Linked DNA regions of Drosophila melanogaster. The protein of the gene in region 2 interacts with the protein of the main gene of each other region in a biochemical or structural test. Each region holds a gene or a part of one and is shown on either strand. Other genes may lie near its edges.

Evidence for each region.
Region 1: the proteins of DIP-delta (region 2) and dpr12 form a complex in vitro, tested with the Drosophila melanogaster proteins (one study listed by BioGRID).

What each region holds. Positions count from the first base shown.
Region 1 is NT_033778.4:5,798,708-5,815,548, forward strand, and holds the start of dpr12 (defective proboscis extension response 12), read left to right. Parts: upstream 1-6,004; 5' UTR 6,005-6,747; intron 6,748-16,841.
Region 2 is NT_037436.4:5,415,166-5,431,890, reverse strand, and holds the start of DIP-delta (Dpr-interacting protein delta), read right to left. Parts: upstream 7,783-16,725; 5' UTR 7,616-7,782; intron 2,729-7,615; 5' UTR 2,378-2,728; coding exon 2,263-2,377; intron 260-2,262; coding exon 153-259; intron 1-152.

The DNA.
Region 1 (16,841 bases), on a different chromosome or scaffold from region 2:
GCACTTGACTAGAACAAACATTTATTCAGTGTTGTTGCCCGACTTCCGATTTGACGAATTTGAATTTGAAACTGCATCGGTCGTGCTGTACTCGTTTTCACATGCTGGATTTCCAGCATGCATAAAATATGGAAAAGTTTGCGAAAATACCAGACGGGTCCTTAATGGCAATTAAGACGTTCCTCATACGTAGCGTTGGCCGCGCCGCCTTAACTTCGCCTGGGGCCACACTGTTTGCTTGTGATTGCAGCGCGGCAGGAGAAAAACATCAGCTCGAGTTTGGCACGAAGGGTTTCTCAGAAACTTTGTTAGGCCGTCCTGCGCGTGGGAGGAGTGCAAAATGGCCGCTAATCGTCCTCCTAACTAAATTTATTAAATTTTCTCTTGCAGGTCTGTGAGCTTGGGGGCGAGTGTGTGTTGAAAGCTTAGCATAATCATCCTTAAAGAGTAAGCTCGCCCAGATGCTCAGATGCTGTGTGACGTCCCATTGCAGCTTTAATGAAAAATATGTTCGCCGAGTGTTATTAATATTGCTCAGGATGTCTGGCAGTTGACACATGTTTTGTTGTCGCTGTCGCTTTTGTTGAATGTACCTTCAGTGTCTGCCTCAACTTCAGTTTCAGCTTCAGCTTTGGCCGTAGCTACAGCTACAGCTACCAACTTCCCTTGTCCTGCCACGTGTAAGCTGACATTTTTTCATTACTACACATTTCAATAGCAGGGACACCCGTAGCCGCATCAGTCGGCTACGAAGAACTCTGCCGAGCAGCTGTTGCTACTTCCCCTATCGTGTATGAGCACTGTGTCCAAGGAGCACCGGCAAGGCCATGGATAACCTTTTGTTTGCTTCTGCCGAGCTTGCACACTTGAATACGTTTGCTCTCCGGGTCCGTCACTGTCATTTGTGCTTTGGCCCGGCTATTTGGCAAGCTTCCATCTCCCCAGTCCTTTCGAGGTGAACCAGCACAGCCCACACCCGGCACCACCGGCTTATGTGCCAACACATCGCAGCATTTGAATAGAACTGGTTTTCAGAACTCGCCAATGGGGTGCGTGGTAGAAATTTATGTTGTCTCTGGCCAAATCATTTATCCCTTTAATTGCAGCGCTTTGCAGAGCTGAGAGTAGACACAGGAGCCAGTACCAGTGATGCAGGTGCTCGGGCTTGAAGTGGTCGACTAATTGAAGGCGGCGTGTGTCTTTTGGATCGTTTTGGAGCATGCTTTACGGGAGCTCGCTTGATATCCACGCCATCATTTATTATCGCTTGACGTATTTATTTTAATTAACGGAAATTAATGCCATGCTGCGCAGCTGTGCGAATATGTTTGCAGTAGCTTACACACATTTTCGGAGCGCGCTATCGAAGTGAGCTACCACGCCCACTTAACCCACACACACGCAGCCACATGAATGCACACGACGCAGCTTTTTGAGAAGGATGTCAGCCTCCCACATGACAAACTCGCAAAACAGGCAGCCTGTTTTATCGCACCGAGTACGATAACTAAGTGTCAATCTGTTTTTGATTTGTTGCAAATTAGTGGAGCCTTTGCTGAGACCTCAAAATTATTAAACATCCCGGAGCGGTCTAGTCAGAAATCTTGACAGCCGAAGTTGCCACGACTCAAGGCGAACAAACAATACTTGATTTACCGATTCTTGAATAATTATTTGTTAAATTATTTATCGTACTGCCGGAGCTTAGCTTATTTCCAAGCAGTTAGTCATATTGCTGATGTAGATGTGGGTTCTATGCACGCAAATGTTAGGAAGCCGTCCATACAAAACTTGAGATGTATTTCCCCAGAATCTCTAACATATATAAATAATCGCATTTTACTCAGCTGCCCCAAGCCATAACTACGCAGTTTGATGAGTTACTTCTTCCGGTGCCGATTCCGTTATGGAAATTAAATTATGGTCAAAAGAACTGCCCCACAGGCAACAAAAGGAGCAGAGGACCCTGCGCACACATAGACAAACTTGTTGAAACACATGACGGTGAGTGTAGACCAGGGTCGTAAATGCCATTACTATTTTGTAAACATTGCGACAGAGTGAGTGGCCAAAATTGTTAACTTACAAGGTCGTGAAAATCCATAAAAAATGGGAAACATTCGCGTACAAAAAACAATGGCTGCGAAACCAACACACAGACAAGCAAGCGTACAGCCGGGCAAATAAACAAGCTAGACATTCTGTTGCAGCAACATACAAACTTTTAATTAATTTCTGTCTGTGTGACCCGTGAGTATACGGCACATACATCTAACTGATTGCTATGATACTGCCATGAGGGGGTGGCAGTGTTTTGTTTACCCATGTGATTGCGATTGTGCGAATGTGCGGTGGGGGTCCTCTTCGGCACACCCGCACACAAATAAGAGCAACAAGAGCATTTAGCGTCACTTTGGTGGCAAAAATGGCTTGACCCAAATGTAATCAGGTAATTTGTTTCATACAGTAAATATTTACCCTCCTGCCACGCATATTTGAACTTAATAATAATTATTCGCGGGGTGATTGCCCCAACACACATACACTGGGCAAACAAGGACGAAACTGAACACAATGCGCTGCAGTGGCAGGCATTGATTTCCCTGGAAAGCCGTCTGGCTACATACTCCTTAAATATTGCATGCTCAGTCAGCCTAGACATTAACTTGGCCCAGACACGAGTCCCACTCGGGCTGCCTGACAGCCAACTTCGACTGCTTGACAGACAGAAAGTGAAAGTAGTGCAAAAGAGCAACAAACGAAATTGATTTAATAGCCCAACATTACGGCGCTAAATGCATACATGCTGTCCCACCTTCCTACATGTACATGCATATGTATGTATGTACATATGTGTATGTGTTTGGGGGTGTAACTCCAACTTCCAAGCGATTTCATTGATCAACGGTTTCCATGGCTCTGCCGGTTGTGTCAATGAGCTGCAGTTGTTCGGCTTGGATAATTGGAAAATCAGGGAATCAAATTCATCAACTCAATGCTTACGCCAATCAACCAATGGGCTTAACGTTCACTTATGAGTCATCTTCATAAAAGTATCGATCAGAGCTAAAGTAAATAATCGTAACATAAGTGGCTAAGGATTTCCCAAGGCATTTGATGCGATTCCTGCCGATCAAACTTCAGTCTTCCTCCTTACTGTACTTCTCCATTGAAATGCGTAGAATGCAAATACGTAGTAGTAAGGGAAATGTTCATAATACAGTATAAAAGCCCAATGTCCTTTTCAATTGCTTCATCCATCCATTGATAGAAGGCCGTCGTCCATTCTGTATAGCAATCAGTTCTTACCCATTACTCGTAGAGGAAAGGGGTATTTAAGTTTCTGGAGTTGTGTGTACCTGATGGAAGACAACTTGATTCTATATACTTCTATTTCATGGCTAAGAAGACAGATCATGGTCAAAGATGTTTCATCAAGGAGCTGTACAATTAGGATGGCAATAAACATCTACTGTAAATAGACCCCCGACTTCGGAGTCTCCAAATTGAGATTAAAGAGTAGAATAGCTTAAATGAACTCGACAAGAAACCATGCCCATAAATACTTCTATTAACTCCGTGGACCTGAGATAAGTAATATTAGTTGCCAAGTTGTCACTGCCAGTGGATAATTACATATATTTAAAGATGTCTGTTAGATGGAGGAAAGCAAGTATCGGTAATTTAATTGATTTATCCTGTGTATTAAATAAAATTTTTAGTAAACATTTATTAAGGAATTTATCCAAGATTCGGTAGAACCCGAGCAATACATTGAGACGGTAATAAATAAAAGAATTATTTATACTTTATACTTTTTATAATTCCGACGACGCAATAAGGAACTTTAAGCCACACAAAAATTTTATTTTGTAGGCGGTCTTAATTCCGTCAGCATTCTCGATTCCGTAAATCTTTTGCAAGTGAGTCTTACCACTGGTGGTGTTGGTTCCAAAAGCTATTTATCCCCTCTACCCCCAACAACCCCCTCAAAAGTTCTCCCTTGACGAGCAAATCTTTATAACAATTAGTTCACACCAACTTTGCAAACGTCCATTATCTAGACCAATCAAAAGGTAACGTGTGTCCATTGTTCAAAACTGCACGCTTAGGTGTCCCACACGTAACTTGCTTCCGACTGTCGCTTACCCAAGCCTTTCAGAACTTATGCCCCATTTTAGCATTTACAATCCCCACCCATGGCAATGCCAAAATTGTATTAAAATTACAAAATCAATCCTTAGCAAACAAAAAAAATATATAAAAAATAAAATTTAATTTATATACGACAATATATAATACAAAATGTTAAACTTCAAATCATACATACACTCAGCTGCTATTGCTCATTCATATTGTTAGCTTTTAATTTGCACTAAGCATTTAGCAATAAATAAGTAAATAAAAAAATATTTATAAGATGTAAATATTTGAATATTTATTATTTATTTATTTATTGGCTGAGTCGCGGCCCTCGACAAAGGCACTTCTTGTTGTCACTTGCTCCTTTGGTCGCCAAAAAGCAGGCTTATATTTCATACGAGCTGAAACTGAAAGGAAAAAGTGCAATCGTTGATAATAAACATTACGTTCCAGGTGTCGACAGAAGCAGCACAGTAGGCTGGCGGGGAAAGGTGCGACCAAAGGTGAGCGGAGTCATACTGAATGAACCAAGCATATTGATCATTGACTGAACGGCCGGCGAACATGCGAATCAACCACAAACCCAGAGCCAGATGTCGGCTGTTGTCGGTTGTGTGAGTGCAGTGCAGTTATTTTAGTGAGTGGTGGCAATAATTCAATTCGGTACATTTTAAGCCCGAAAGGCGTACGGCAGCGCGCAGACACGTGCAGGGCGACTCCGCTGCCTAATTAAGGGTACTAGGACTCGAACGACCGCCAATCGATGCAGCTTATACAATTTGCGATCGCACTCCATTCCCAAAACGTTTTCAATCGCCACAGCTTCCTTTGTGCGTCCAGGACGCGCGTCCGGCCAACCGGCGCTCTTCCGCTCCTCCGCCATTCCGCCCTCAAGTCCGCCGCGCGCCAAGGAGGAGCTCATGCAAAAGCAATTTCCTGAACTTTTACCCGACCGCTGATGCAGGCACACAGACTCACAGACACACACGCATCCTCTGGCAGATTAAGACGGCGACCCAACTCGAAACGCATTGGCCGACTCGTGGATGCCACAGCACTTGAAAACCAATACGAATGCGATTATGCCCCTGCAAGAGTGAGTGTGCGTGAGCTGGCGCTCTCGCCCGCACACAGCCACTCCAGCGTGGAAATGGCGGGCTGTAAGTAAGAAATCATTAAGGTTGGTCGGCACACTAATGGAATACGACAAGCGGCATGTGGGAACACACTCTTGCACTTGTCCTGCATCCTGGTGGCCACCGATAGCTGTCGTTGTAGTTGTCAGTTGGCCGGGGGATTTGCTCCACGTTCGGTTTTGGTCACCGCAAAAGTTTAGTTGCAAGTTGCGGCTCCGCTTGCGGCGGTCATCCGTCCGTCGGGCGTGCGTGCCATCTGACTGCCAGTTGCATTAGGATATCAATTTGCGGGACACTGATTCGCCAGTTTACTTGCGAAGTGTGGGTGCCAAAAGAGGTCCGGCTGTTGGGGTCCTTCAGCAGCCAAACGCTCCGGCACGTGACATTGGCAAAGTGAGTTCCGTTCGCAAATGTGACACAATTTGGTCATCTTGGGACCAAGGAATTCAGAGTCTCCGCGAAGACCCCTAAGAGAGAGCGCGAGAGCGAGCGCGGAAAGGACTCTCTTAGGTTACCAGAGCCCTGGAAGCCATGGAATTCAGGTGTAGCGTATGGACTCATCGGGCCAAGTCGGGGACCGAAGGCCATGCGCTGATTCGTGTCGCTGACCTAAAAGCTTGAAGAAGCTTCCGCTCAGCTTTCGCTCAGCTGAGCCAGGCGCAGGCGCAGACGCTCCCTTCCAGTGGCGAGCGGTTTCCGAATGCGTAGGAGTCCTGGTAGTCCTGTCAGTTCACTTCGTTTGCTCGTCGAAAGCTGTGCATGCTGCGGAAGCGACGGCATCGCTCGTTACCCCATTAGCAACAACAACACATCGAGCATTGACATACCATTCAACACAGCAACAACAAGGCCGTACTGAGTGCCGGACTGAGGCTGAGGTTGGATTTGAAGTTGGGGGCTTCCGGCGGCAAAAGTGCGTTTAAAATTACCAAAGTTGTCCCAATTAAAGGGTGCAGCGCGACTAACAAGTTCAAGTTGGATGTTTCGCCGCGCGAGCGACGTATTATCCCTGCGAACTCCTTTGTGCTCGCGGAAACTGGTGCGTGGCGGGCGTAAAATTCGCCAGTGACTCCGCGTTAAGTCAACTGTTCCTGCGAACTACTGCGAGTGCGAGGGCACGTTGCAGCCAACGGTGGCAAAAAGTAAAAGCGGAAACGTAAACCGAAACCGAAACGCCTGAGCGCCAGAGGTATTGAGAATCCGGGAAATCGAGAACAGGCATCGGTAGTGACAACTGTGAAATGTGCGGCTGCATTGTCGTTTTGCCACCACTTTGACCCAAATCGCATTGAATTCGCGTTGTGCCGGAGTGCGGGCTCTGCGGACGCCTAATGGCTTAGTGCGAGCAGTGCATGATCAATAAGCACCAATCGAAGCTCGCGAGTGCCCCACAGCTAGACATAAGAAAACGAGATCCACCAGCAATTGGAATCCTCTGAAGCATCGGTTCCGGGATCAGCCGTACTTGGTAAGTGATTCACAGCTAGTTGGCCGTTTCTCGCTTGTGAGTATGACATGTGGTTGACGGGAGGCTTGGGACTTGTCATCTTCCGCCGCTTCCTTCTGACTTACTCCAGACACGAGTTAGCTTATTTACGTGGGACTTGTAAGTTTGGGCTTTGGTTTATAGCCTGTGGCAAGAACTAACTTGACTGCTGTCAAACATACGACACGAACGTGTCTTGCAAAACACAACACCTCTAACTCATTAAGGGAGGTAAATGCCTAACTGCGTTGGTTATCAACCAAGAAAAGTTTAAATGAAATTAGGATTCGGCTGCACAAAGTCCGCAAGAGGAGGCTTGCAAAGTGGCCACATCTAGGATTCTGCTTAATTCATAGTAGAGAGTATTTTTCAGTGATTATTTTAGATGACTATATCAATGCGGTTTGCTTTCAGTTTTATAGTCAGAGAGTTCACTTAGAAAGGGATACATAAAGCTTATGTATGGTCCAGAACATAACTAATTTAGTCTTGTTTGGGAACACAGAAAGAAGCTGTCAAAACATCAAAAGCACTTGCAACATCGAAGATAAATTGATAGATAGATTAAAACTACTTAGTTTACTGAACAAAGTCCTTCACAACTATATTATCAACCCCCTAAGGTCGATGGGACTACGATATAGCCGGACTGGAGTTGGAAAAACTGCCGAAGCTTATTCATACACGCAGTGGCTCATGCAAATGGGAGATCGGGAATCCGACGGCTTTCTTGTGAAATAACAAAATGAAAGCGCAAGCTAAATATTTGCTAACAAAGTCCTTGGATACGGGCGCTAATGGCGAAGCTTGTTTTTGTGTATGTGACGGAGCCCCCAGCGATAAGGCACGGGGTCTTGTTTTCGTGGGGTTGGCTGGGCGATTAAGTCTGCGTTAGCCGAGACGTCAGAGGAGCGGCCACGCAGAAAGCAATTAAATGTATTTCCGCTCCAATGTCAAAATTAATGCGCGTTTCATATTTAAAAGCGTGAATGCACGTACACACGAGCATGTAGAGAAAGGTCATCGGGACGACAGGATGTGTGCGCGCGGAAGTCCTATGTCAATGCTGGACTGTCACCGGACAAGTGGGTCGAACGAAGCAGGAGCATTTTATCACCTCGGGGACTCACAGGCATGTCCGTAGCCGGACAGCTGTGGGCAAGTGGGGCACGCCCCGTTGCTATCGCCCTGCCCTGCCGGTGAAGCCGGAACCAATGGGGCGGCCCAGTTTTATGACTTGTAGTTCGACACCTCGTGTGCTGGCTAATGAGCGTGGAAGACTTGCGTAATGTGTGTTTATCATCCGCCCCGAGGCCGGCCGACTTTTTTGGTCATGGAACCGCAAATACTCGAATGTATTTAAATTGCAACTCTACTAAAAGGCGATTTGATTTGATTTGATTTTCTGCTGTGCTGTGTGCACGTGTGTGCCTGTGTGCCTGCCAGTGTGTGTCGTATATATGTAGTTCGGCAAGGTTTTTGCTCAACTCTTCCCATAGCAATCTATGCAAAATATTCACAGCCATAAGAGAAAAGTCAAATAAAAAACAACCAATATTTAAATAACGGATTACAAGCCAGTCGGCCAAAGAAGCCGGAGCTGATGCTGCTGCCACAGCAAAAACATAAATGGGAACAAGCGCCGTTGGAGGGCATGTAAGTTTCCCATTTAGTTATGAGGCCCGCTTTTTGGCCAAATGCCTGAACGAGTCGCTGGATCAGTGCGTAGACTGGCTGGCAGCCTGCTGGTGCCTTCTCAACGTTCCTGCTTCATTTCACTTCATTGTGTCTCCGGCGAGAGTCTTTGTTTTTATTCTGTTTTTTAAATCTTGTCATTCCTAGGAGTCCGTTTATTGCACGATGACATCATCTTAGGACGCGTCCTCCGGGGCATTTCACCCGATATTCAAATGCAAAGCTACCTCCCTACCAGGCATAACTACCAGTATTCAACGTACTTAATTGTATAAATTCTATTCCAAACGAACGGTTAAGTATAATTTAAGACGCCGCTGGCCGTTCGATTGCCATTCTGTCCGGGATGAAGCTGTACAATCCGGGCACTGCCAACTTTTAATTTTAATTTATTTTTGTGACTCTTGGTCCGAGCTGACCGGCTTATCTTTCTGCCATTGTGTTCAACCCGCATTGTGCAACCCTTTGCAGATATATATCGGCTGGCATCTTTTAGTGCTTTCCGTTTGATTGCAACTTGCAATCCGAGATTTTGGCAAAGTCCATCGGGCTCCAAGCGCAAAAGCCTGCCAAAGGAGAGAGAAGTGAGTGGATGCTATTAGGGGATAAAAATGGACCAGGCTTTGGGAAAATAAAGTCAATCAAATAGTGTCTTAATTGTTAAAGGGCCGTGAAGGGTTTTATGCCGGAGAATTGGATTTATTCCCAATGCAAACATAAACAATGGGCTGCAAGATGTCGAGCAGCCAATTCAAATTAGATCCCCTGCCTAAAGCTTCACAAATTAAGCCCTTAATAAGGACTTTGCATAATCAAGCCAAAGACGTTCGTGGGCCGGGCCACGCGAATTGATGACTGGAAAATTACCCGAGCAGTTTGGCTGGCAACCAATCCTGATTGATAGCCGGAGCCCACCCTCTTCACAAGTGCTGTCCAGGTATAAGTCGAGTGTTGCTCAGCTGAGCTCTGAATTATTCAGGAAATTGGCTAATTATCGAAAAAGCTTCGGATTCATGTCCCCTGTCCTGGGATTTGAGCTCCTGTGCCACATGTGCCGTTCAAACTACAAACATTCTATTAGCACTGAATGAATTATTAATAACTGTGTCAGCCGCCTGCTAATGAGATGTTGTGTGCGCTACCGTCTTCAGGGTGTGGTGTAACTTTCCCACCCACATGTAATGGCAAGGACAACTCAACTGGACACTTAAATTTTTGGCAGTGTTTGCTTAGGTCTAAGCAGAAAATCATTAGTTGAAATGCGCAAATATCTCTAAGGTTTTTATTAGCTGAGCGGCAAGTAATTGCCCACAATTAGGCCTTAATAGTACGACCATAGAGAGGCGCTACATACACTGTGCAAAGAGAGCTAATCAGGACCGTGCCAGGATACCGGCCTCGCGTATCCCTGGGGGACGAAGCTGAGCTGAAGCTGAGCGTGAATACGTTTCGGTTGCTCGTTAAGTAAGAATTACTCTGTGTGCTTGGCATGTGGAAAAGAGCTCTTTTGTTTTTTCGGGGAGCACTTCCTGCTGTCTCTTTTCGCATTACTTAGTGTTTTTATTGAAGCAATTCTGTCAGGGCAGAAAACAACAGGCTGACACTGAAAAGTTGTTATTTTCCCCAGTCATTCGGCTTAGGGCTAGCTTCCCATTTGTTCCCACCCCTTCCCCTTCACTTTCTTCTCGACACCACCCACGTCCAGCCAAATATTATTACAATTATACATTGTATTGTTTTTATTTATTCTTCCGTCATCCCCAATTATTTTCTGCGTTGTCTTCTTTCACTTGCTTGAGCTCTTCGGTTTATGGCTGTCCTTCCCCCGACACAAGTATTCCGAGTCAAATAAGCTTAAAGTTGGAAATTCGCTTACGATTCTGGTTTCTAAACAACAAAATCTAGTCATAGCTACTTATATATGTACATACATATAATATTAAAGAGATATTTTAAAATCGCTATTTTACCGTACTAGAATTTGACGCAGACAATATTATGGGATAATAAAGTTATTTAAGGTGTTTTAAAATCCTTTGAATTGCATATCAACCTTGAATCAACAGATTCAAGCCATGAACACAAAAAAAAAAACAAGCAATTTTCGTTGTAAGACTTATTCTTGGATATTTAAAAAACGAGTGGTATGATTTCATTTAAAATTGAAATTTAAAAATTCCATTAAAACTAGGATTTAAAAGTAATTAAGAAATAAGAACAGAAACTTTCCAACTAACAATTTTCATGAATACATTTAGTGTGATCGTCGTATCCACACGCTTTTTATGGCCAATTAAAGGCTTGTGTTGTTTTCTGGCCTAATTTCTTCAAGTGGTAGTATTAGTAATTATCTTAAACAATCAGTGCACAATAAAAATTCTCTTAAAAATTTTTCGATATCAGACAGGAACTCCTCTTGAGGGGGCAAAAAACCAAGTTACCCTTAACATACCAGTGTTTTGCTATTAGCATTCACAAAAAATGATTTTGCACTTGATTTTACTATACTAAAGCTTCAAAAGAAAATAGCCTGGTAACGATTTAATGTGTTAAATGAAACAGTGATAAGCATACGTTATCAATTTAATCCTTAATGATATGTATATATAGATTTATTCTCACATTACTAGTGCGTCTTCAAAAATTTCAGACAACCATTTTGTTCATGAGTAGCTAAAGCGACAGACAATCAAACAAATAACATACGCCGTTATTGTGAAAATACCTTTGAATACCTTTTGAATACCTTTGAATATCTTTTTAGCGGAGCATTGGGTTATAATGGCGGATATATAGAGCTAGAGTGCAATAACAGCAGATCTAGAATTATGCTCCACTGGTCCTGAAATAATCCAATAAGCGAACTAAAAGGAAGGAGTGCGAAATATACATCCCAACGGCTCGAGTTCCGCGACTATCCGATACCCGCTACTCAGCTAGTACAAGTGGGACCGAGAATGTTCAACACTTTTCAGGAATATCGAAAGAAATCGGAAAAAAATGTATTTTAATGTGCAGTTTTGTGCGGTTTCTGGGCGTTAGAGTGGACGTGGCAGCATGGGTCATGCCAAAGACCCTAGAATATTCTAGTGTCTTTGGTCATGCGCTGTGTTTTTGTCTCTAGAATCTGTGTGCTGAATCTCAACCTTCTTGCCTTTAAAGGTTCCTGAGATCTCAACGTTCATACGGCAGACGGACATGGTTAGATCGACTCGGCTATTGATCTTGATCAAGAATATATATACTTTATATATACTTCGTTCTGCCTGTTACATACTTTTCAATGAATCTAGTATACCCTTTTACTTTTTTCCAAAAGAAACGCTTCTCCCTGTTAAATACTTTTCAACGAATCTAGTATATCCTTTTACTCTACGACTAACGGGTATAAAAACCTGTAACAAATATGAAAGTTTTATGATAAAAATCATCGAAGCTATGATTTAATTTAAAATATTTAAAATAATTTTCCGATTGTTCCTAATTAATACCGACATTTTATATTGTCAAAAAATATTGTGTGCTTGAGAAAGTTGTGAAACCAACTTTCACAGCGTTAGCGTCTTTCGAATTTACAAGCTTTATATAAGTATATATCTGATACCGTTTACTAATTAAAATAAATATGCCTTCAGGTGACAGTGTACATTATACACATAGGTAATGTACAATACTATACATGTGCATGTACTGTACATGTACGACACTAAGCTGTTATGGTTTCAAGCCGAACCCTCTAAAATATTAATCAGCTTTTGGGAAAGTAAAATGAATACAACTTTGAAAACGACAAAATGAAAATTTGGGCGTGCCATTCATTTTCTGTTTGTTGGCGTTCGAGTGGGCGTGCCCGCCCAAGTATTGACAGAGGAACAAGCTGTAACGAGTATATAAATGTAAAACACAATCCAAATGCGCGCACTATAAGGACCACCGTTCCTTTGTCATGTCCTTTGTCATGTGCCTCGCGCTGTAACTCGTTAGAGGGTTCAAGGTCCTTGTGCCGTGCTAAGATCAAGTTGTGTCTTCTCGGCACACAAATGCATGCAAATGCCAGCCATAATAAAAACAATGCCCGGGCGAAGTGAGCACACGACATCAAGATTTAAAAATGTGTCCCAGCCTCTAAGCAAAAGGGTCTTGGAAGATGCGCAAATGAAATGTGTCCCTGGCTGTGAGTCTGTAACTAGGAGAAGGACGAGGCACTTGTGTTGGCTCTGCGCACTTGGCCCATAGTGAGGGGCGGTAGCCGAAACGGCAGTTGCCTCCAAGTCGCGTTCATTCAACAATTTAGCAGCGAAAGTATTCTCAAGTGAAGTTACGGAAATAAACAGTCTGGGTCGCACTGACTGCAGAACGTCCTGCGCCGAGAAAATGACATCAGAGGGGCAAAGGAACACTAAAAGCGAGCGGAGTCATTCGGTGTTATGTGATAAGCCTCCGATGCTCCGATATGGGTGCGTTCGAAACTTCCGCTGCGCCCCATCAAATGTGGCCGTCATGTCGTTTTCCATGCTGCAGGATGTAATGCGAGCTTATTACCATAAAAGCATTGCCTTCCGCGCTCATACATTCCTCCGCCTGTGTTTTTGGCCGAGAGGATGTGGGCCCTTTGCCAGTGGAAAAGACAACTTATAGATGTGTTCAATTTTAGTAATAGCTCTTTTGGGCCTTCGGGCGGGTCTGAAAGACACTGCTCTGCCCAAAAGTTTTTAACTGCTTCCCGTTAGATCTTAGGAAGTAGTGTGATGGCCAGCCTGTCTACCGATTATATCGCCAGGATCCGACGCAGAGCTGCCTTGGCACTCTGTCACTCCACGGACTTGAGAAATATGGCATCTGGCTGGCCGCAGGGGAGTGTGCCTTTAAGCCAGCGTCGCAAAAAGAAATTCTGAGTCAATACATGTTGAGTACCCTGAGGAGCTGGCAGAATGAACGAAACACTGGCATACTGGCAAGCTGAACGTACTGGTGTGGATGTCTCTGTGGCTGCGTGGATCCATCAGTATCAGTATATCCACGCATGCAAGCTCCGTTTGCAGCTCCGTTTGCAGCTCCGTTTGCAGCTCCCGGCTCACGAGAAATTTCTCATGCAACATCGAGCAACTTTTCAGCCGCAGAAGTTGGCAAGTACGGCAAGAGCCGGCAGAAAGATGTTATGGGGCGAATGCGAGGCATGCCGTGGCTTTCGGCGTGAATATGCTGCCACATAATACTCGGGTGGATACACAACAACTGCGTTGCCGGCTGCTCAAACAAAGGCCTTCCGCCCAGACCGCAATATTCAATTTGTGTGCGACGCAATCTTAAGTTTGTGCGTTTGCTGTGTGTCCCCGATTCGGATCCCAGGGTCCTCTTTATTTACAGCTTGTATCGCTGCAATCGTTTTTTATCTGCCTCGTTTGTCCGGGCAGTCGGCCAATAATATGGGCTGACTGCGGACATTTGCTTGCGGCCTGCTCATGCCGTTATCCTTTTATGCTCCGCTTTATCAAAACGTGCGATTGGTCATTCAGTGCCTGGCTTTATGAACTGGAACAGAGCTTGGATTTGGGTCCGAAAAGAATACCGCCCTACAATCCACCTCCAGCCAGGCACTCCCACCACAATTCTCTAGTCCCCCCTTTCCACGCCTGCACCGCAATTATGTTTTGTGGCTTGCGGCGTGCGGACCGGAAATTAATTTCGTGCTTTATTGCAACTAATTCGATTATGAGTCCGCTCGGCGTTCAAACCCAATCCAACCATCGCCCTGCACTATACACCCAACACCCAAATACTAGACCCCCCGAAAGCGGCAACCTCCCGCTGCGCTTAACATCTACACAAACAAGGCCCGCGTGCTGGCAGTGTTGATTTGCATGGATGTTTATGCATAATTTATGGCGCTGCAATTGCTGGTTGTGTTCGCAAACATGCGTCGAGCCACCAGAGATTATTTGTTTTTAAATATTGCGCACTAATTTAATTTATCGCTTTATTATTCTTTGCGTTTCGAAAGCCTGGTGGAGCGCCTGAGCGGGCTCACTTGTGCGATGCGGCATACGAAAAGCCGATTGAAATTGAAATCAATTAGAGCCAAAATGACGTCACGCGCTCCTAACTTGTTTAATTGGTGGTCTTTGAGAGGATATGCATAAAGTTGGCAGTCGGAACCTCCGATTCAAGTGAAGCGTCACCATCGCATCATGCCTCAGCAACATCCACATCAGCACACATACCGTATAGCCGAGAATACACACTCTGGGAATTTTCCTGCGTCCTTTATTATTTTTATCGATTTTCAGCTGATGGCTTTATCAACAAGCGGCGCTTGTCTTTTCAGTCCGTCTTTGGTCACTTGTTGGGCAAACACACAAAAGAACGCTCGCCCCCCTCCCTACCCCTTGACGAGGCGCCCCTGTTGAGTGATGTGAAGTGCCTGCAGGCCGCGTTCTCAGGGCCGCCTGCGCATATACATAATAGCCAGGCTTTGGGGGCGTTATGGCATTCTCACGCTTCATTTGGCATAAAGACCAAAAATAACCGCTGCCATCCCCTGGTCCTGGTTCTGCTGGGTCGTCCAGGCTTGGACGTAAATTGAGTAAACGCCCCTTATTTGCTTTGTATATTTTAAGCCCGGAATCAGCAGCAGCACATAATTAAAGAAAATGAGGAAATGGTGGGATTTAAAACATAATTTAGCTTACACAAAGCTGGATTTCCGTTGCCAAAAGCACTGTTGGCTCGCTCTCTATTTGGCCACGCCCCTATTTGCTCTTTTCACACCGAATACACTGCACACTCTGCTCTGAGACGCTATCCATCGCGATGGCCAAAACGCTAGCCCATCCCCAGGAGCGGATCGCAAGAAGCGATGGAGATTGATAGGTAAACAGGACGGCCAGCGCAATTAACATGAGTGGGGAAAATGACATCGCGATGGCACTTCCCATTGATTTTTAATTAGCATAAACAGGCAATAATTGCGCCAATGTGCAGAAATCATCGCCAATATGCAACGACATAACTATGTTGGGCTATCGGTTTCGTCGGGCCTTTCCCGTTGACACGGAGCGACACACACACTGCTCTCGCAACGTGAAAAATGTATTAAATTTGCCGTCAGTTGCTCATTTCAAATTGCTTTACGTGCCGAGGGAAGCAATAGCTCTCAGCAAATTAAATTGACTGCTCGCTCGACGAGCTGACAGGATGTTGAGTGGAGGTCTGTGGAGTGGCAGGCTCTTTCGGATTATTATCGGATGAAGATACTGTGAGTTTAATTAATATTTGAAATATTCTTTGCCACATTTACTAATTGCAATGACACTGCGTTTTCGCCGTCCACTCGCATCTCGATGCGATGACCCTTGACCTGCTCAAAGGATACCTGCCTCTCCAGGTAAGTGATTTATCACTTTTCCCCTGGCAAGTGCTTGTCGAGGAATGTGGCCGAAAGTAATTCGTAAATTGGAAAAAACATGCTTTGCGGAGACAAATGTCAATGAAGCCGCATAAAATGAAACGAAATACCGTAATCTAGCTCTGGCAAAAAGCCCTGAACAAGTACAAGATTTTCCATATTCCATATTTCTTGTACTCCACTTTGTCCTGCGCCAGCCATGTGCGAAATTTATCTCGCCCGAGCTGGATTGAGTCCAGAAGAGCGAGAGCTAACGAGGCACTGGGGCAGCTTGTGCGGAGGAAAATCCAAAGATTAAATTAAATTGTACACGTCCCCATTTAAAACTAAACAGTCTGAGCCTGCGACAGCACTTCCAGACCGCCAGCAGCTGGGTCTCGGTCTCGTTCGTCATAAGGATGTGTGCAAATCCCCACAGCTTGGCCAGGAAGGCTGGACGGGCCAGCCGGCTGTGGCGCAATAAATCACAACATTTTCAGATGCTTACACAAATGCCTTTTTGATCCTTAATTTTCTGATCAAATACGTGACACTAAGTTTGCAAGGGCGGGGCTTAGGGGATGCCAAGTAACAAATCGCAAGATGCTGAAAATTGAATGCGAGTAGCCGGGTGGGTATCCTTCCGGCTGAGCTATTGATATTTCCCAGCATCCCGAATCAAATCAAGCGAGTGGAGTGTTCTACTGTGTGTTGTGGGGGGGGGGGGGGTAAAGGGGGTTTGCTGCAAAACAAAACGGTGGAGTTTTCAATCCCAGCAGATTGTTGGACTCAATAAGTATCTTTGTGTTTCGCATTGGATTGCACTAGGAATCTTTGCAACATCAACAGCAATAGCAACAAAAGCAGCGGCAGCGTGGGTTGTTAAACTTACTTTTATGACTGTCTGAAAGCGATAGTCGCCTTGCCATTGCCAAAGCCTGATCCCTGCCTCTTCCGCAATGTGAGTGTGTGTGTGTGTGCGTGTGTTTTATTCGCT
Region 2 (16,725 bases):
AATTGATTTTTGACACTGTCCGTCTCGCTGGCAAACCTCTTCATCAACGAGCCGAGGCTCGACCATGGAGCTCAGTTTACGCACGATTTATGACAGTTTCCCCGGGGCTTTCCCCTTCCCGGAATTTCTGCCACTTTCTACACGTTACTCACCTTATAGCCACCCAAATGCTCCACAACGCAGGGCAGATTGGCATCTCGACCCACAGCAACGGTGACGTTTGGTATTGGCTGCGCAAAACGTGGCTCATCCATCATGACTGCAAGTGAAAAGTGGCGGCGAAAGTGGGTTAGTTAATGAGAGAAAGAGTCAACTGGGAAACCTAATTCTGCGCCTGGCCAAGGAAATTTCACTCAGCTGAGTAATGGCTTTAATAATGCTCGAATTACAATTGCTGGAAATTTCTGTGAGGTAATTGAAGGCTTTGGAAAATTCTTATCGCGTAAAATTACTCAAGCTTGATTGGATTAAATTATAAAGCATTTGCTCGTCATCAATATAAAAAGTAATCCCTTTACACATAAGAGCATGGAAAAAAATAAGTCTCAATTAAGAAATCATATTTTCCATTAATACTATCTCAAACTATAATATTTTAAAGTACAGCCAAAGTTTGATGAACAAAATAAACACCTTAAATATGAAATTATTCTTTAGTATATTTCAGCACGGAGCTCGTTTTAAGTTTTTACTTAAGTCTCCAGAAGAACATTTTTTGCCAAAAATAGTTTGCGAAAAATTCTTAAGTACGTATGAATAATTTGTGGGGAGGACCAACTCGAAGCCCCACTTCTCGCCATGGCAACCATAACGAAGTCATTAAAGCCCAGCAGAGTACGCCGGGTAATAAAAATAAAGAAGTGCAAATGTTGATGGAGGAGCAATAGCAGCTGTTGCCGGAAATCCCTGACCCACAGGCCAAATATAATCAACAGCAGCTACAGTGGCAACGGCAACCGCAGCGTCATTATGAAATAATTAAACAAAGCAATTTTTTATCTGCCGGGGGGGGGGGGAGAGCGGGGAGTGCAATGTGGAAGTGGCATGGTGGGTGGGGCAAAGTGGCAGCACGTAGCTGCTGCCTGTTGAGGCTGCCTGATGCCACTTTTGTCTCCGTTTTCCTTTTCTATGCATTCAGCTCGTGTTCGTGCCGCTGTCTTTGCCGCGGAAGTGCTGCACAAAAAGTGAAAATAATATAAATACTAGCGCATTCCGAACAACGACTATGCAATACCTGACTAATGGATTAAATTAGGCAACTCCTGCACTTTTTAAAAATTAAAGTTTTTTAAATGAAAACTGTAAATAGTTTACTCTTAGAGACTTGCATCCTATCATTGAAAATGTGGTAAACAATAATAATATTTACACACATTCCACACAAATTTATGATATTAAAATTCATGAGCTATTTCTTGAGGTATTGTAAGCCCAAAATATATCTTTAAAGGAATAGAATCTCCCGAATGTATCTACAAAATACAATACCCTGTCGAATTGCAATATGCCCATGTACACTACCAGTGTCGGATATAAAAACATGGTCTACCTCCTGGCCAAGTTGATGGGGCCGTGTTGCCGTGTTATCTGCGTCATGCAGTCGAGGCACGGCCCCCTGCGCCCCAAACTTCCTGCCACGCCCCTTTTGGGCCAGTAGGCAGGAGCATTGCAACTGTATCACGGTTCACGGCTTTCACCTGCGTTCGGTCCGGAGTTTTGGGCTCTCTGCGAGGACCAGCGCGTTGCCAACGTTTTGAGGTCTCATTTTCTTAATTAAATTATGGCCAGATCTGACAGTTTCAACACGGTGAACAACACGTATTCGGTGGCGGAAATGCGAGCATATGGAAATGCTTATTAAGGAGTATTAAACGAGAGAGAAAAAATGGCCAAGGAAATGCTTTCGTATGGAAAAATCAAGATTTTGATATTCCCATTTGGCTTGAAGAACCACAATGTTTTAAATGATTTTTTTTGTATTCCAAAAGGAACTAAATAAATAAAATATATGAAAAATCGTAAAGTGCTAAAGTGCATACGCATTAAAAAGGCAATATGAAATTAATCACTTTAAATCCCTGTTGAATAAAATGAAAGTGAAATGTGTGAAACGTTTGAAAACAAACTAATCCCAGCATTAACAAGCTTAAATTTTGTTATTTATTTAAAGCCTGTGTTGAATAAGTTCAGCGTTATTCATCTGGCTCAACCATTTGATTAAACTCTAAATCAATAAATTATGAAATTTATGGGTGTGCTTACCGTGCGTCACCAGATTTGTCATATAGATGAGGAACATAATCCGTCGATTTGTGAAGCGACTGGGAAATATATTTAATGCTATCAGCAGCAATTTAACTACCGTTAGAATAAACATTTTGTTGTATTCGTTGTTGCGTTATTATTTTTTTTTTTTTTGCTTTTCTGCGTTTAATTTTATCTATGTCTGGTGCTATAAAATATGTGTTGAATTATTTACACTATAGTTGTTAATTTTTGCACAGCATTTTTATTTGCACTCCGTATTCTTTTTCGATTCCTATTTTTATTTCGTTAAAACATTTATTTGATTTGCGTAATTTAATTTGCACACACAAGTGCACACTTTGGCAATTCAAATTTCATTTAGCGTAAAGCTTTAAAAATCGCTTAATTCACTTGACGCGCCGAATGGCATTTGCCCATGGTTTCTGTTGTTATTGTTGTGTTTCCGCGGCTGTTGTTTTTCCTGTAAATGAAACAATGAAAATGAAATAATAAAAATGCAGCCCACACACACATGGAGAAAGGCGGAAAAAGGGGGGCGGTAAAAATGGCCACAGAGGAGCGCCGATTCCAGGGGATTATGGCATTTATTATTATTATGCCAGTCGTCCTGCTATTCGGCAATCCACTCTCCCCGTTTCGCTGTTGTTGCCCAGGCTTTTCAATGTTGTATGTGGACAACAAGTTTTCGCAGCCAAAATTAAATGATCGAAATGATCGACGTCAGAAATACCCTGCTGCTACCTAAAGCAGGGAAACTAAAGTAGGAACTTGTGTTTGTGAACTATAATTTCTTTTTTCTACATTTAAAATATTTTCTTAAAAAATAATTATGAATTTTAAAGGAATTACTTTCGTTGTAACCATTATATCAATTCAATTTGTAAACAGTAACCAAGCATTTTAAACCCCTTATATGCATTGTTAGTAAAGCTTGTAATACCATTTCTACGCTTACTGCTTATATCTTAAATTAAATATGAAATATTGAAGTGAAAATTCACGACCTGTGTAATTAATTTTTTATCGAAGAATTAAAAAGATCTGAGCCTGGGAATTCTTTCGAGCGATTCCCAGGAACTTTAGCATATTTCAAATAGCAATCATGATACCCATTTTAGTGGTCGGGGAACAATGGGCGTACGCAATGCAGGTTGCTTCATTTCATTACCGGGAAATGGGAAATCCCCCAGCAATGAAGGGGGTTATGACTGGTTGCTTGTTTGGCCGTTGGTTGTTTTCGGCTCTCGGCTTTCGGTTTGCCAAGTTCATTTGGCCACCTCTCGCCCTCTGCCAATGCAACATTTATTATTAATAGCACTTTATTCCGGTCAGTCCGAGGTTCATGCGCGAATGTGCCACGTTTGAATGCGTTCCATTGATGTTACTATTTTATGGCCCCAGAAATGCGTTCTACGGCGATGGATGGCCGGTAGTAACGGCTGTGTCATTGCAACAGTTACTTTTACGGTCGACGTCATGGTGACCGCTGATTTCTGGTGTAACTGGTGTTACCAGGGCTATATGACGACATATCCATTGCACATCAATTGCCTTTGTTGCGTTTTTACACATTTTTCATAGGAGAAAAATTCCCTTGGAAAGGTTGTGTTAACTATTACTTGTTACTTATGTTAATTATATAAAATATTTTTGAAAAATTCTCAAATTTACAATACATGTTTTCAGTTATACTGAGATAAATGTGATTTACTTTATATAAGTTATTTTAGAAGTTTTAATTTAAATTGACACATTTTCTGCTTAAAGTTTTACAGGATATGCCAAAGTTTCCCATGAACACATCAGAGTTTGTGTCTCGCTTTTCCATCGAAATGCGTTACAACCGACTGGTTAGGCTGAAAATTCAGCTGCACTCCTCTGACTTGGTCCCGAACAATTTCGCGAAATGAAATATGAATGAACATTCCATATCAGCTTACTGCATTGCCAGACTCATCCTGACTTCCTGCCCATTCTGGCCACCCCTCTCACCAGCGACTGAGATTCAGTTGATCCACTTACTCAACTCAACTGAGTTGGCGCTTCAATATATAAATATTTGATACTGCCAAAAATAAAAATCTGTTTCTGCTACGATATTTGGTAGTTTTTCATTCGTTGTCTGACAAACGATTTAAATATTAATATACATGCATTTATTAATTTCGATTTTTTGCTACACATATGTACATATGTATGTTGTGAAACTATTCGGAAATAGTTACAACTGTGCGAGTTTTTGTGCATTTAAATGATTGATAATCAAATTGAAAGTTTTTATGAAACTATTGAAATGGAATTATAGAATTTTAATCAAATTAATTTTGCCATGCTTACGAATATTTCGTTGTAATTGATTTAATACATTTAGTTGGAGGTTAGAAGGTAAAATATAATATATAATTAATATTTTTAGGAGGCACATAATGACTACAAGTGCAACAAATAATTAGAGAATTCATTTCAATTATTATTATAATAATTACACACTTGCTTCCACTTCCATTTTAATTAAATAACAAAAATAAACAGACAAGCGTAAAAATCAATTTAAATGACCCAGAAATCGCTGCCAGATCATTAACATATGTCACCAGCAAAGGACACAAAAACCGAAATCATACGCACTGTGCGTGTGAGGGGGCGTGTCCTTCTGGTCTTCATGTGTGTGTGTAAATCAGACGAAATGGGCGTTTTGCTTTGGTTTTTGACATTTTATTACGGACAACATTGTTTAGCTGGTCCGATCCCCGTTCGGCTGGGCTTGAAGTAATTAGGTTGAAATTACAAATTATGGGGTCCATGTAGCAGATTATAACGACAGAGTTCGAAAAGCGGCTGAAAGGGAAATGACCATGACTGGTTTCACTGGTGGAAAATTACGACAGAAAATCATTTGTGTCGGGGGGTAAAACAAATGTTTGAAATTTTTTGCCCTCCTATTTCCGGACCTTTTTCAAACGGACAACAAACAGCAAAAGCAGCAGCAGCAGCAGCAGCCAAAACCGAAGAGAGCTCGTTAAAAAGCACTTAGGGGCAAAAATCAGGGACGGAGGCAGTTGGGTAATTATGATGCAATCAGTACGTAGCCAGAAGTCCACTTTTAGGCCAGAGCGCAATCACAACTTAACAAGCTCGACATGTATAAATTGTAGCTAACCAAGGTTTCCGCTCGCGTAACGCGAAGAAAGCCTTTTACTCGGCAAATTCCATAGCCTGTGACAAGTGAAACTTTTCGTTCGCCAAAGAGAACTGTATAAAAGCTGAAAGCGGGAAAAATCCAAACGAAAAGCCCGAAGCGAGCCAAGACAAACCATAAAAGACAGCCTCAACTGCACACTCAAGTTGAAATACAATGTAAATTATGCTCGGAGGTAGCAGAAGAAATGCCATTCATGGCTGTCATCTCCTTTAGTCCGTCTCTTTCTGCCCATTCAGGCTGTCTCTTTCCGCGACAGGAGAATCGTCGGCCAGGCAGCTGAGCAATTCCTGCAGATCTGACAGCCAGCGCACATGGAATTGTTTGCAGATGCCTGAATGTGGATACACTACACCGCCAAATTGGCATTCAAAAAATATTTAAAATAAAATAAAAATTAATTTATATTTTAAAATAATTTTCAAAAAGTATGTCTCTTAAATTTAACAATTTGAAGTTCTTTAATTTGGGTTTTAACTATATTTTCGCTTTCAATTGCAAAAATCTTCTGGCAAGTTCTTATCAAAAACATATTTTTAATAATTTTTGTAAGTGCACGCTTAAAAATGTCATAGAGTGCAGCTGAAAAATGCATTGAAATTCGTTTTCGTTTCGCTGCCATGAATACTTCACTTCGTCCACCCACAACATTTGCTACCAAGGAATCTTTTCCTTTATTTCCTTTTTAATACCACAAACAAACTAAACAAAAATAAAAAAAAAATGCGCAGAAAACGATTTGATAATTTTACATTCATTGTGTGCAGCCTGGGAGTGCTAATTAGTAAATGTTCCTGTTTTCCCCCTATTATCCTTTCTGTGTGAGCTGAGGGAAAAATAACAATCTAGTAGGGAGAGCTCCGAGCAGTTAATGAGCTTGAGGCGAAAACATAGAAGCACACATTTTCCTGTGGTCCATTTGGGTAACTAAATAGCTTATGGTTAGTTTCCGCGAATTTTAAGATTGCCTTTTGAGTTGAAAGCATTTGGCTCATTTAAAATTTTTCCAACTTTTAAATTAGCTTGAGGCATTATATTGTACATTTAAATTAATATTCGGATATTGCTGATTTTTACTGAATTCTTCAAAAGTTTTAAAAGTTCAAAGTCAACTTCAACTGACAGTTCTGTTCCACGCACCTTTTGCGATCGTCTGATTCAAGGGCTTTAATGTATTCAAGTGTTTAACAAGCAAATTTATGAGCTCTTCACCGCCTTTATCCGTTTTCCTTTATAACTTTCCAAGTGAACCCAATTAGAGTTCATTTCTTGGCAAATTGCTTCGTCTGGCAGCGATTACATTTCAGATTTCCGACCTGTCAATCTCTGGAGCAAAGCGAGCTCTTTGAGATGCAAAAAACAATTGATTTATTAATGCACTCGATGGCAATAACATGGCGCTCCTTGTTATCCGCACTTTTCCCGAGCCCAGTGCACTGAACCAGAAAGATGATGATGTTTGAATAACGAGGCAAATGATGGAAATAGACGAACCAAAAATAAAGGCAGACTATAAAAATGGTGGATAACCAGGAGCCGAATGCCGTGAGACTTGAGTTTGCTCTTAGTTGCCGGCTTGAGGAGTAATTCCTTTACAAGCTGAAGGATATTAAAAACAAGAGAGGAAGGACTTGTGCTGCAGCAGGACTTGTGCTGGTGGGAGCAGCAGCAGGGAGAATGTTGCATAAACTTAACATAAATAATGGAAGCAATATTTCAGCTGCAGGAGCCATGGGGCAGGATCCAGATCCTGCAGGAGCAAAAACGGAAAAACAGAACCAAGCAGAACCGAGAGCCCTGAGCCCAAGTAGCAACAAATGAAGTTTGGATGACTTGCAGCGCCGGCTGATTGCCGTGAAATTTATGTGGCACAGGGCTGAGTGAGCAAGCGTCTCTCGTCTTGAGCTTCAGCTGTATTTTTAATGAATTTTCCCCCGAATTCAAATTGCTGCAAAAAAAAGTTAATGGTAGGGAAAACTCCGCGTTCTCATTTGCTATTTTCCGGCTTCAGTTGCATTCAGGTAAAGCGAAATTTTAACGATCCAACCGCAAAATTTATTGTCGCCTGCTGTTGCGACACGAATTATTTTTATGGCCAACCGCACTAACACAAGATTTATTTTAATTGTTACACACTTGGTGGTTTACTTTGTATGTTTAGGTATGAGCACTTTTTACGAGCGAGTAATTTGCAATTAACTCGTTTTTAACTGTGATTAAAAGATGATTAATTTGTTGTGTTTTATTGAGAATTTTCCCTTGCGATGGAAACTCGCGGGCTGACTTCTACTTCCGGAGCAGGTTCGAGTCAAACTGAATTCAAATCGTGCCGCTCAATGGTTCGCTTCATTGGCAAAAGCAGGAAAAAAGGCTTCGGGTATCCGAAAACCGAAGTTTTCCATTCGTATTCACTCGCTTTGGACTTCGTGTATGAGTACGGCCAAAGTTTCGTTCAGTTTCGAAAACGTTTTCAGCGCAAGCGTCGTTGTTTTTCGAACGAAACACGTGCTCGGCTTTTGCTGAGAAAGAAATTCAAGGAGAAAACGGAAGCCAAATCAAAACAACATTTTGCGCCCTTTTTTTTATATCAGTATATCCCCCAACTTGGGCTGTTGTGGGACAAAAATGTGGGTGAAAAGAGCGGAAGAAGTACAACAGCAGTTACAACAACTCGCAAGCAACGCATAAATCTCATTGGCCAAGAATGTGTAAGCCAAAATTAAATCCAACGAGCGAACCGGCAAATGCTGTTCCCTCGTTTGGTTTACGCTGCGGTTTTAGGCCTCCTTAAGGGTTGACTTGAACTTGAATGGGTATTTATGTGGGGATTGGGTTCGCTTTTAGCCGGGCAAAGGTAAACATGGGTAAAGCAGGTGATTAGAAAAGGAATAAAATATAAGTAAGAAATTTAAAGTGGTAGCAAAGTTGTTACCCATAAAAATACGGGTATAACACTTGGTTGTGGGAATTTATATAAAGTATTACACATATTGCAAATATTTAATTACTCTTTCCTTATAACAGCAAATATGAAAGTGTATGTAAAGAAACATTCTTTTCAGTGGACTGCAAACCACTTGTGTTATGCTGTGAAACTTAAAGAGACTAGTACATTATGTTACCAAATAATGATAAAGACTGTTACTAAACTCGTGGACGCCCTTTTGCCCATCACAACAGAATCTGAATTTGCATTTGGTTTTGCTCGTGCAATCATAACGCACAAGCGAACCCACAAATACGCAATGACCATGGTGGCAGAACCTTACGCAATCTTTAGCCAAGGGAAATATTCTATTTTGCCTTCTTATCTCGGGACCTCTTACGAGGAAGGCCCAATGATTTCTTAAGTTTTAATGCAAAATTTTGCTTTCATATCCGCTGGTTCCGACGGTTAGAATGCTGTTGAAGTAGTTGCTTTCCCGGTATTGTTGTACCCATTCCCTTCTCCACAGTTGTGTCGGAAATCCAAGTTGATGTTTTCTTTATAAGTTCTCAAGTAAACAAGGAGCCCACTTCCTTTATGCCAGGACCACCGCAGTGAAGGCCAGCCTTGCTAAGGCTAAGTTGGATTTCAGGAAGTGCGCTCTTATACCAGGAATTTGTTTTGTTTTCGGCATATTACAATCTTGTTTGCTTTACTGGCATATTGCGGTTGACTTTTGCCAGCTGCAATAAATGAAAAAGTCAAAGAACCAGAATGGAAAGCCCAAAAAATATGAAATCCATTGAAGTCTGACTGTAACTTTAATGGAGATGCTCTTTGTGGTCCCTTTACAGTATGTGTGTACTTGTGAATCCATCAGCCAACCGGGGAAAACTCATCATAAAGTGTAGTGGATGAGAGACTTCCATTCCCACAGACATTGCAGATGGAGCCGAGGAAGGATTTACGGCATCCGCATATGGGCATCATCTTTATCCGAGTGTCTGCGGCTCCTTCTTTTATATTTATTACATCATTCGATGGCATAAACTCGCATATTAAGTGGATTGATGTATTAATATTTAAACGGCGATTTGTGGTTTGCGGTAAGCTAAAGTTGCTTGGGGGTCCAAACTCGAGCAAGTGCTTAACCTTTGACCCTTTTACGAACATATGGCAGGCACTTTAGGCATAATGAGGCATCAGCATATCAGAGAATCGATAAAACTAATCTTACCATTTTGTAGTACCATTATTTTGCGACCGCCCTACTTCCACTTCCCCCGATCTGGTCACATTAAAAGGCGCCACGCATTGTGAAGTCCCGTGCAAACTTTTGTGTGTGCGTATCTCATAAATAAAACATAAAGTCGCCTGCTTTTTATTTTTATACATTTTATATGCTGCTGCAGCCTCCGAAGTGGAGGAGAACTTTTCCGAGGTCGCCGAACATGTTTGGAAAATGTTTATAAAATGACACAGAAAGCGTACAAGTCATAAATAATGCGTTTCAGCTGGTGGAGACGGGGCATAAAAAGGTAAGATGCGAAAAAGGGGGAGAAGTTGAAGTGCCGCAGTAATTTGAAATTAGCACGCGTTTGACATGCAAATATCGGGAAACAAGTTGAGACCGCATCTCCCATCTGGCATTTACAATTGCAGGGAACACGCGGCGTATGCGCAATATGACATCCATAAGTTCTTTATTACAAAACGGAACCCTAGATGAGGGTCACTGTAAGACGACCCTAATGCTGACCTTTTTCCGTAAGTGCTCGGAATGCCAATGAGGTGGGTAACTTTAAGTTGACCCCGGTAGAGATCAATCTATACTCTATTTCCCATTATCCTTTTGTTGCCTGCGGATGTCTTTGGCAAATAAATAAATTGCAAGTGACACATGCACAATTATTTACAATTAATTACGTCTGTGACACAGTAACACCCTTTTGTCCCTTTGGACATGCAAAGGGTCAATGTCCTGGTTCCTTTTTGATTATCTCACTCAAGTATGCAGTTGTGGGGGCGTGGCATTTGTTGAACTTCCATCCACAATACACAAACTCAATCGATTAACATTTAATTGCATCTGCGGCTGCCCGAATTTCGGCCACAAATTCCGTAATCGAAATTATTATTCAGGCCTCTGCGCCAGAAATCGTCGCATTATGTCAGATCCCTGAGTGTATATATTTGATGCGAGTTGCGGGGAAAATGCAAAGCTCATCAGGTGCAGGCTGCCCATCAATGAACAATGAAATTAGGAGCTGCAACCTGGAAACTGGTATTTACCCACGTTCCAGGGATTTCCGTCAACCAAGAGCACACTGATGTGACCCCTAACCGAGGGTCAATTCAATCCGCACTCAAATAATCTCGAACAAAAAAGAAAAAAAAGTCTGAAGGCGTTTTTTCTGGCTGCGGTTTTCCCTTCCCACAATTTTGCGACAACAAACAGCAAATACTTCCGCATTTCACACGCTTTTCCACGACTTGAACTTTCCGAGGGAAAAGTGGGTAGAATTTTAAAAATAACATTTGAATGCCAGAAAGGTTTTATTTTCAGCCTCGTCGGAGGCAAAGAGAATGAAAAGAAATGAAAAAGGTTGTGGGGGAAATGGCAGTGAAATGGAAATGCAGACAACTCTATTTGGAGGTGTTTTTCGGAGGGGAATGTTTCTTCATTTGCGACTGAGTGAATAAGTGACACTTTTTTCGCCGTTGTTTCCAAGCGCAGACAAAATACAAACAAACTGAACCAAAGTTCTGAATTTTTCTAAATTGGTGTGTTTGCTCTGCACTTTTTCCTGTTTGCAACTCTCTATACTGCTACTGATCCGATTGAATATCGTTGAAACGCGTTACAGAACATTAATATTTGATTTTGTTGTTTGTTTTTAATTTACTCGAGTGCAAATTTGTTTAGCAATGCCCATCTCACTCCCCATCCCACATGAGCAGCCAGACGAAAGTCATTCGGTGCCCTTTTCGATGGCACCCATTAAATCCCCTCAACTCCTGTCTGATGCACTCCATTGATGGAAATCGATATTCGGATGGAGTCTTGCCACTGCACTGCACTCGAATCATTTCAGAAATCAGAAGAAGAGTATATATCCTTGGTTTCTATTTCGTAGGAAGTGCCAATTTCCCTCCATCCCTTTTCCTGTTCTAATGAGTTTCCTTGGATATGAGAGAGTTCTTATGTACAAATCCTCCCAGTGTTGATTTATAAATATCTCTTATTATTTATGCCCTCAGCTAAGCATCTTTACACATGCCCATGCAAATGCGTAAATATCCTTTTCAGGCACTAGATTTATGCACTCCAGATGCTGGACTGAGTCAGAGGTTAAAGGAAGGCAAACTTCTTGATGCTTTTCAGGCGAAAGCGAGTCCGATTTAGAAAGGATTTGACCCATTCGTCTGTTTGCCGGGAAAATGTATCCCAAAAACTTAAATTCCATTTATATATTTCATCATCATCTGAGCTCAAGTGCTCACACGAGGGGCGGGAAGGGGAATGTGCCAGCTGTTAATATTTTGACAATGATGCATAAGTCCTGGACGGCGGACACAGGACGCTCGACTCCTAATGCCAGACAGACAGTTGGCAAGATGAATGTCGACAGTCGGATGAAATCGGAATCCGAATTTCATATTCAGGCCAGGACTTCTAGGCACTCGACCCTCAACGACGACGCATTCCTCGTGTTTTGCCTGTTATTGTTTTATTGTGGCCATCCTGCTGGTGCTCCTCGTTCCTCGTTTAACTGGCACCTTCATTAGTTATTCAAAAATTGTCGAGGTCGGATGAGAGATGGCCAGTTGGAGTGAGATGCTGAGATGGAACCCAACTGGAGGCGTGTCAGGATGGATTGGGTTGTCCTGGAGCAAACGCAAAGTGCACATGTGGATCTTTGGAGGCAGAAGAATGACAAGGGACAGAAATTGTGACCTGACCTTACAGGAAATTTTTGGACTTCAGGGTCTAAGAGAACTTTATGGGAAATCTTTAAGATACCCATTGTTTCTAAATCTTTCCAATGCTTTAATCTGTGTCACGTCCAATTTGCGTAATTTATTTAAAGAAGAGGTCAAACAGTTTCTAATGACTTTAAAAATCTGGTATATTCCTATCTGAATTCTTTTGATGGCCAAGACAATAGAGCATCCATCTGGCTTTCCTGGAGGATTATGACCGCCTCGCTCATTGTATGGAGTACAATCCCCCCTTTCCGATTACATTTTCCTGACATGGGTCGTACCTTTACCTTTATCCGGTTTTCGTTATCCAACAAATGAGCGAATAATTGTGCGATACAAGTGAATTACAACGTTTAAGCGCTTCAATTGCCAATGGCAGTGACAGCAATTGTTGTCCTGCGCGTGTTAATGAGTTGTTAAGTTCCCCGAAAGAGTCCGCCCACCCATTTAACCCCTTTCGACTACCTTAACCCTCAACATTGTCTGGTGCTCAGCCAGCAGCGATAAATGTCAATTGCAGGACCTCGTTCAGAAATTCTGAATCTGCATTGACTGGAAGAGATGATGTAGCGGGCCTATTCAAAGTTCAAGACCCGCTGCGGCTCATTACATGTCCAAAATGCACTGCCGCACAGGAGGAGGACGATTGAGGATGATTCAGCTGGCGAGCTGCGGACGAAGGACTCGCCAATGCAAACATTTCAAGGGGAAATCGGTGGAAATCGGGGAAATGTAGAACAGAGGAGCACATGGAGGACATGGTGGACATGGAGAGTGACTGGTCAGGATGGTCAAGTGGGGGTCATAAATCGAGAGCGGCTAATGCCGGGGTGTGTACTTCATTCTGACTGCTGTTGGCATTCATTGGCATTGGATTTCTCCACTGGGAGACTCAAATTCAAATTCAAATCGCAATTCGCAGTAAGTGGGATGACTTTAAAGCGCCTTATTAATGTAGGAGGGGTCAGACAGGGGCCAAGTTTCCCAGCTGAACTTTGTCTGACTTTGGCCAGGATAAACGGCTTGGTCTCCTTGATTCTGGTTTTCCCGAAACCGAAAGGCGATACTGACATTTTCAGACAGAAAAGAAAAAGAGAAGAAAGTTCATTGAAATTGACAGCTTCTGACCGAAGCGATGCCTCCATATCAGTGGTTCTATTTATGGATTTGAAAGGGGATAGCTTTTTCATCTTATGATGGAACTTTCTAAAATAGTACTGCGTGGAAGTGAGATGAAAACCTATCCCAATATTTAGGGGTTAATGGCAAGTCACAATGCAAATGTTGTGCAAACAGAGGAGAGTCAAACCCAGAAGCCCAGGACAAACATCACGAACTAGGCAAAGTCAGGTTGGACAAATATGACCCTCTGCTACCAATCCCCCTCCTTTCATTGGACACGATGTCAAGACGTCAAAGCAAATTGATTTATTGCCCCACCGAAAGCCACAGGTGTCCATGTTTCAAGTTCTGCTTCCCTCGTACTTGGGATCCTTTGAAAATCGCTGTCCTCGGTTGTCCTTCCCCTTGACAGACATTGCGGTCGCCATCTGCAGAATTCTCGCGGCCTAATTTTCACTTTGTTGTCCTTCAATGGCCTCCTACGAAGTCGTTGACCTTTGTGGTTTTTGGATCTGCCGAGAGGTTCTCCTTTGCTCATTTATCGATACCTATAAATCTTGTGGGGTGTTAGAATTCAATTCTTCACCAAGTTCTTAGTGAAAATGGGGGAGTCGTTTCTCGTTCCACCTGCTAATTCGAATTTAATGCCTGCTGCTCAACATGACAAACATGGCAAGTGTCCTGTCTGCCAGGTGAATGGCGACAGGTGAGCAGGAAGCGGAGGAGGGCGGCTTGTTTGCCGTGAATGGAAGACCCTGTCCCGTTGACAGTTTAATTGAATCTAAATCCCGACTGTGCCCGACCAGAAAATACGTTTTTAATTTCATTGTTTACTCTGCTCCACAGGAGCTAAACAAGGAGATTTATGAACGTAAACTAAACTTTCGCATAGTCTAAGGATCAGCCTCATAAAAACTGTCCGCAAATGGGGAAAAGTGCAGGCTGCTTCTATTCGCCGAAATAAAATGCATGAAGATGTTTTCATACCACAAAAGAAGGACCATTCAAACTTCATGTTTATGCTTAGATTGGGGTAAAGTTTCGGACTGCTCTGTTTGCTCAAATAGGATGTGGTCATCGATAACGGGGAAAGCATAATTTATGGACATTAAAAAGGCATTTGTCTTGCGGCCAAGTGAAATATGTCAAAAGTTTTGCGGCAGTGGCGGTCCAAAATGTATTTGCATACGCATTGAAATAAATCTAAATTTGCCCAAAGGTTCGCGCACATGTGAAATCAGCGCAAAGAAGATTTATCGCGTGTCCAGGGAAATATCCAGATGTCCACTACAAGCAACAAAAAATGCGGCTTAAGTTGGGGGTGTGCGTGTGTGAAATGCAATATCCGACGGTCATACGCTGCGAATGAGCAATATAGTACTGTCATTTTCCTTTCATTTTCCTTTACAGCAAGTGGTACTTTGCAAGGATATTGTACAAGGTATATCAAGTCATTAAGTAAATTTATATATTTAATTAATTCACTCGTTAGTCATAGCTGAAGATTTAATTATGTGACATTGTGGGACAAAAAATGCTAACGAAATAAAAATTAATGGGTAACTTCTAGTCGGCTTAAGTGAGAAACTCCTTTGCCCTTTATTATCATGGCTTGCACTTTACAATGAAATATTGCTTTATCCTTACGCCTTACTCATTTTAATTTGCCTTTCCCGTTTTACATTTTCCCGTATTTTCCATTTCCCTTCCATGTGCTGAAGTTGAGGCCATTCATTAACAAAATGAATGATTGCTGAAGTACCTGGCTCCTCTTTTCCTTGCATCCTGTACTGACATGCATACGCAAATTGATGTTCTTGCTGTTATTGTTTATTGACGTATGCCAAAAAGGAAGCTGGAGTAAGGAACAAAATAAACAGAACTTACTTAACTCGAATTTTCATTTTTCATTATGCCCGATACGTTGAAGGCCTCGAGCACTTGAAACGCAGCTTAATTGAAAGGCATGGGGATATTCTGCATTAGGCAAAGAGCTTGTAATTAATTGCCCGATGGAAGATATCGATTATTGTGCTGCTGAAACCTAATATTCACGGCTTCTAATGGTGTTTCGATGATTTACGAGCTTAATGAGCCAAAATTCAATTGACATGTGGTGCAGACAGGATCTTTAAGCTTGAGAAGGTGTGAACCTATATTAAAGCCAAGCAAATTATTGTAGCTGAGATAAAAAACAACTGTGGAACTCTATTATATCCCTAACCATTAGGAAAATTGTGTTATTTAAAGTGCCCAGCAAAGTTATCGCTCTTGTAAAGTTAATTTCCCCCTTGTGTGCAAACTTCGTTTAACTTTAATATAGCCAACATATTACATAATTTGTCAGTAAGACTCTTGACTTTCAGATACACCAGTCAGCCGGCAGGACAGACAGCAAACTTATGAGAAGTTTATGACACCAGCTTAGCCTGACATGGCAAGGATATACATACGCTCATGTTTGACACGCATGTAAAGTCATTACTCAGTAGGAAGAAGTTTCAGCTGCAAGTGGAAAGTCGTTAAAGTCACACAAAAAAAAAAACAAAAGTGAAACAAAATCAATTCATGAGTTAAGGTTAAGTGAAAAAGTTTCACCATTAAAACCGACAAGGTGACTTATATACATATGAAGAGCCTCGTAAATCTATAGGCTTTAGAGTTTCAGTTTTAGAAACTAACAAGATACAAAATCAAAGGGATTCACGTAAGCATTCATTAAATTTGAGTTAAAGCCCATGTGAAATAGAATACTGTGGGTAAATATTCAATTTCAGTTATCTTACTAGTAATTTAACTAACGTCGAAGAAAATATCATGAAAAGTTTGGCCACTAGGCAAATATTAAGTTTACTTTTGCTTAGATGAATAATGTAACTGACACTCGAAAGGGCAAAAACTGTCTTCAAATATTCTTTGAGCAAACTTTGTCGCTCCACACACCGCAGGACATCTGAGAAGGATTGCAACTCATAAATCACTGCGGAAAAGCTTGCAAATTTTCCACACACATACAGACTTCTGCGTGCATGAAACTTAATTAAATGAAAAACTCGTTTGTAGGTCAAGTCTACATACTCGCATATCCCCTTTAGGGCAGAATAAATTTGTTGGTTTGCAGATAATGTGTCTGATTTAATGGCCAACCAGATCAGCTGCGAATTGTTGAAACCATTAATGGTTAAGCGGAAAAAATTCTGATTTAAATGTGGACGAAAAAAAG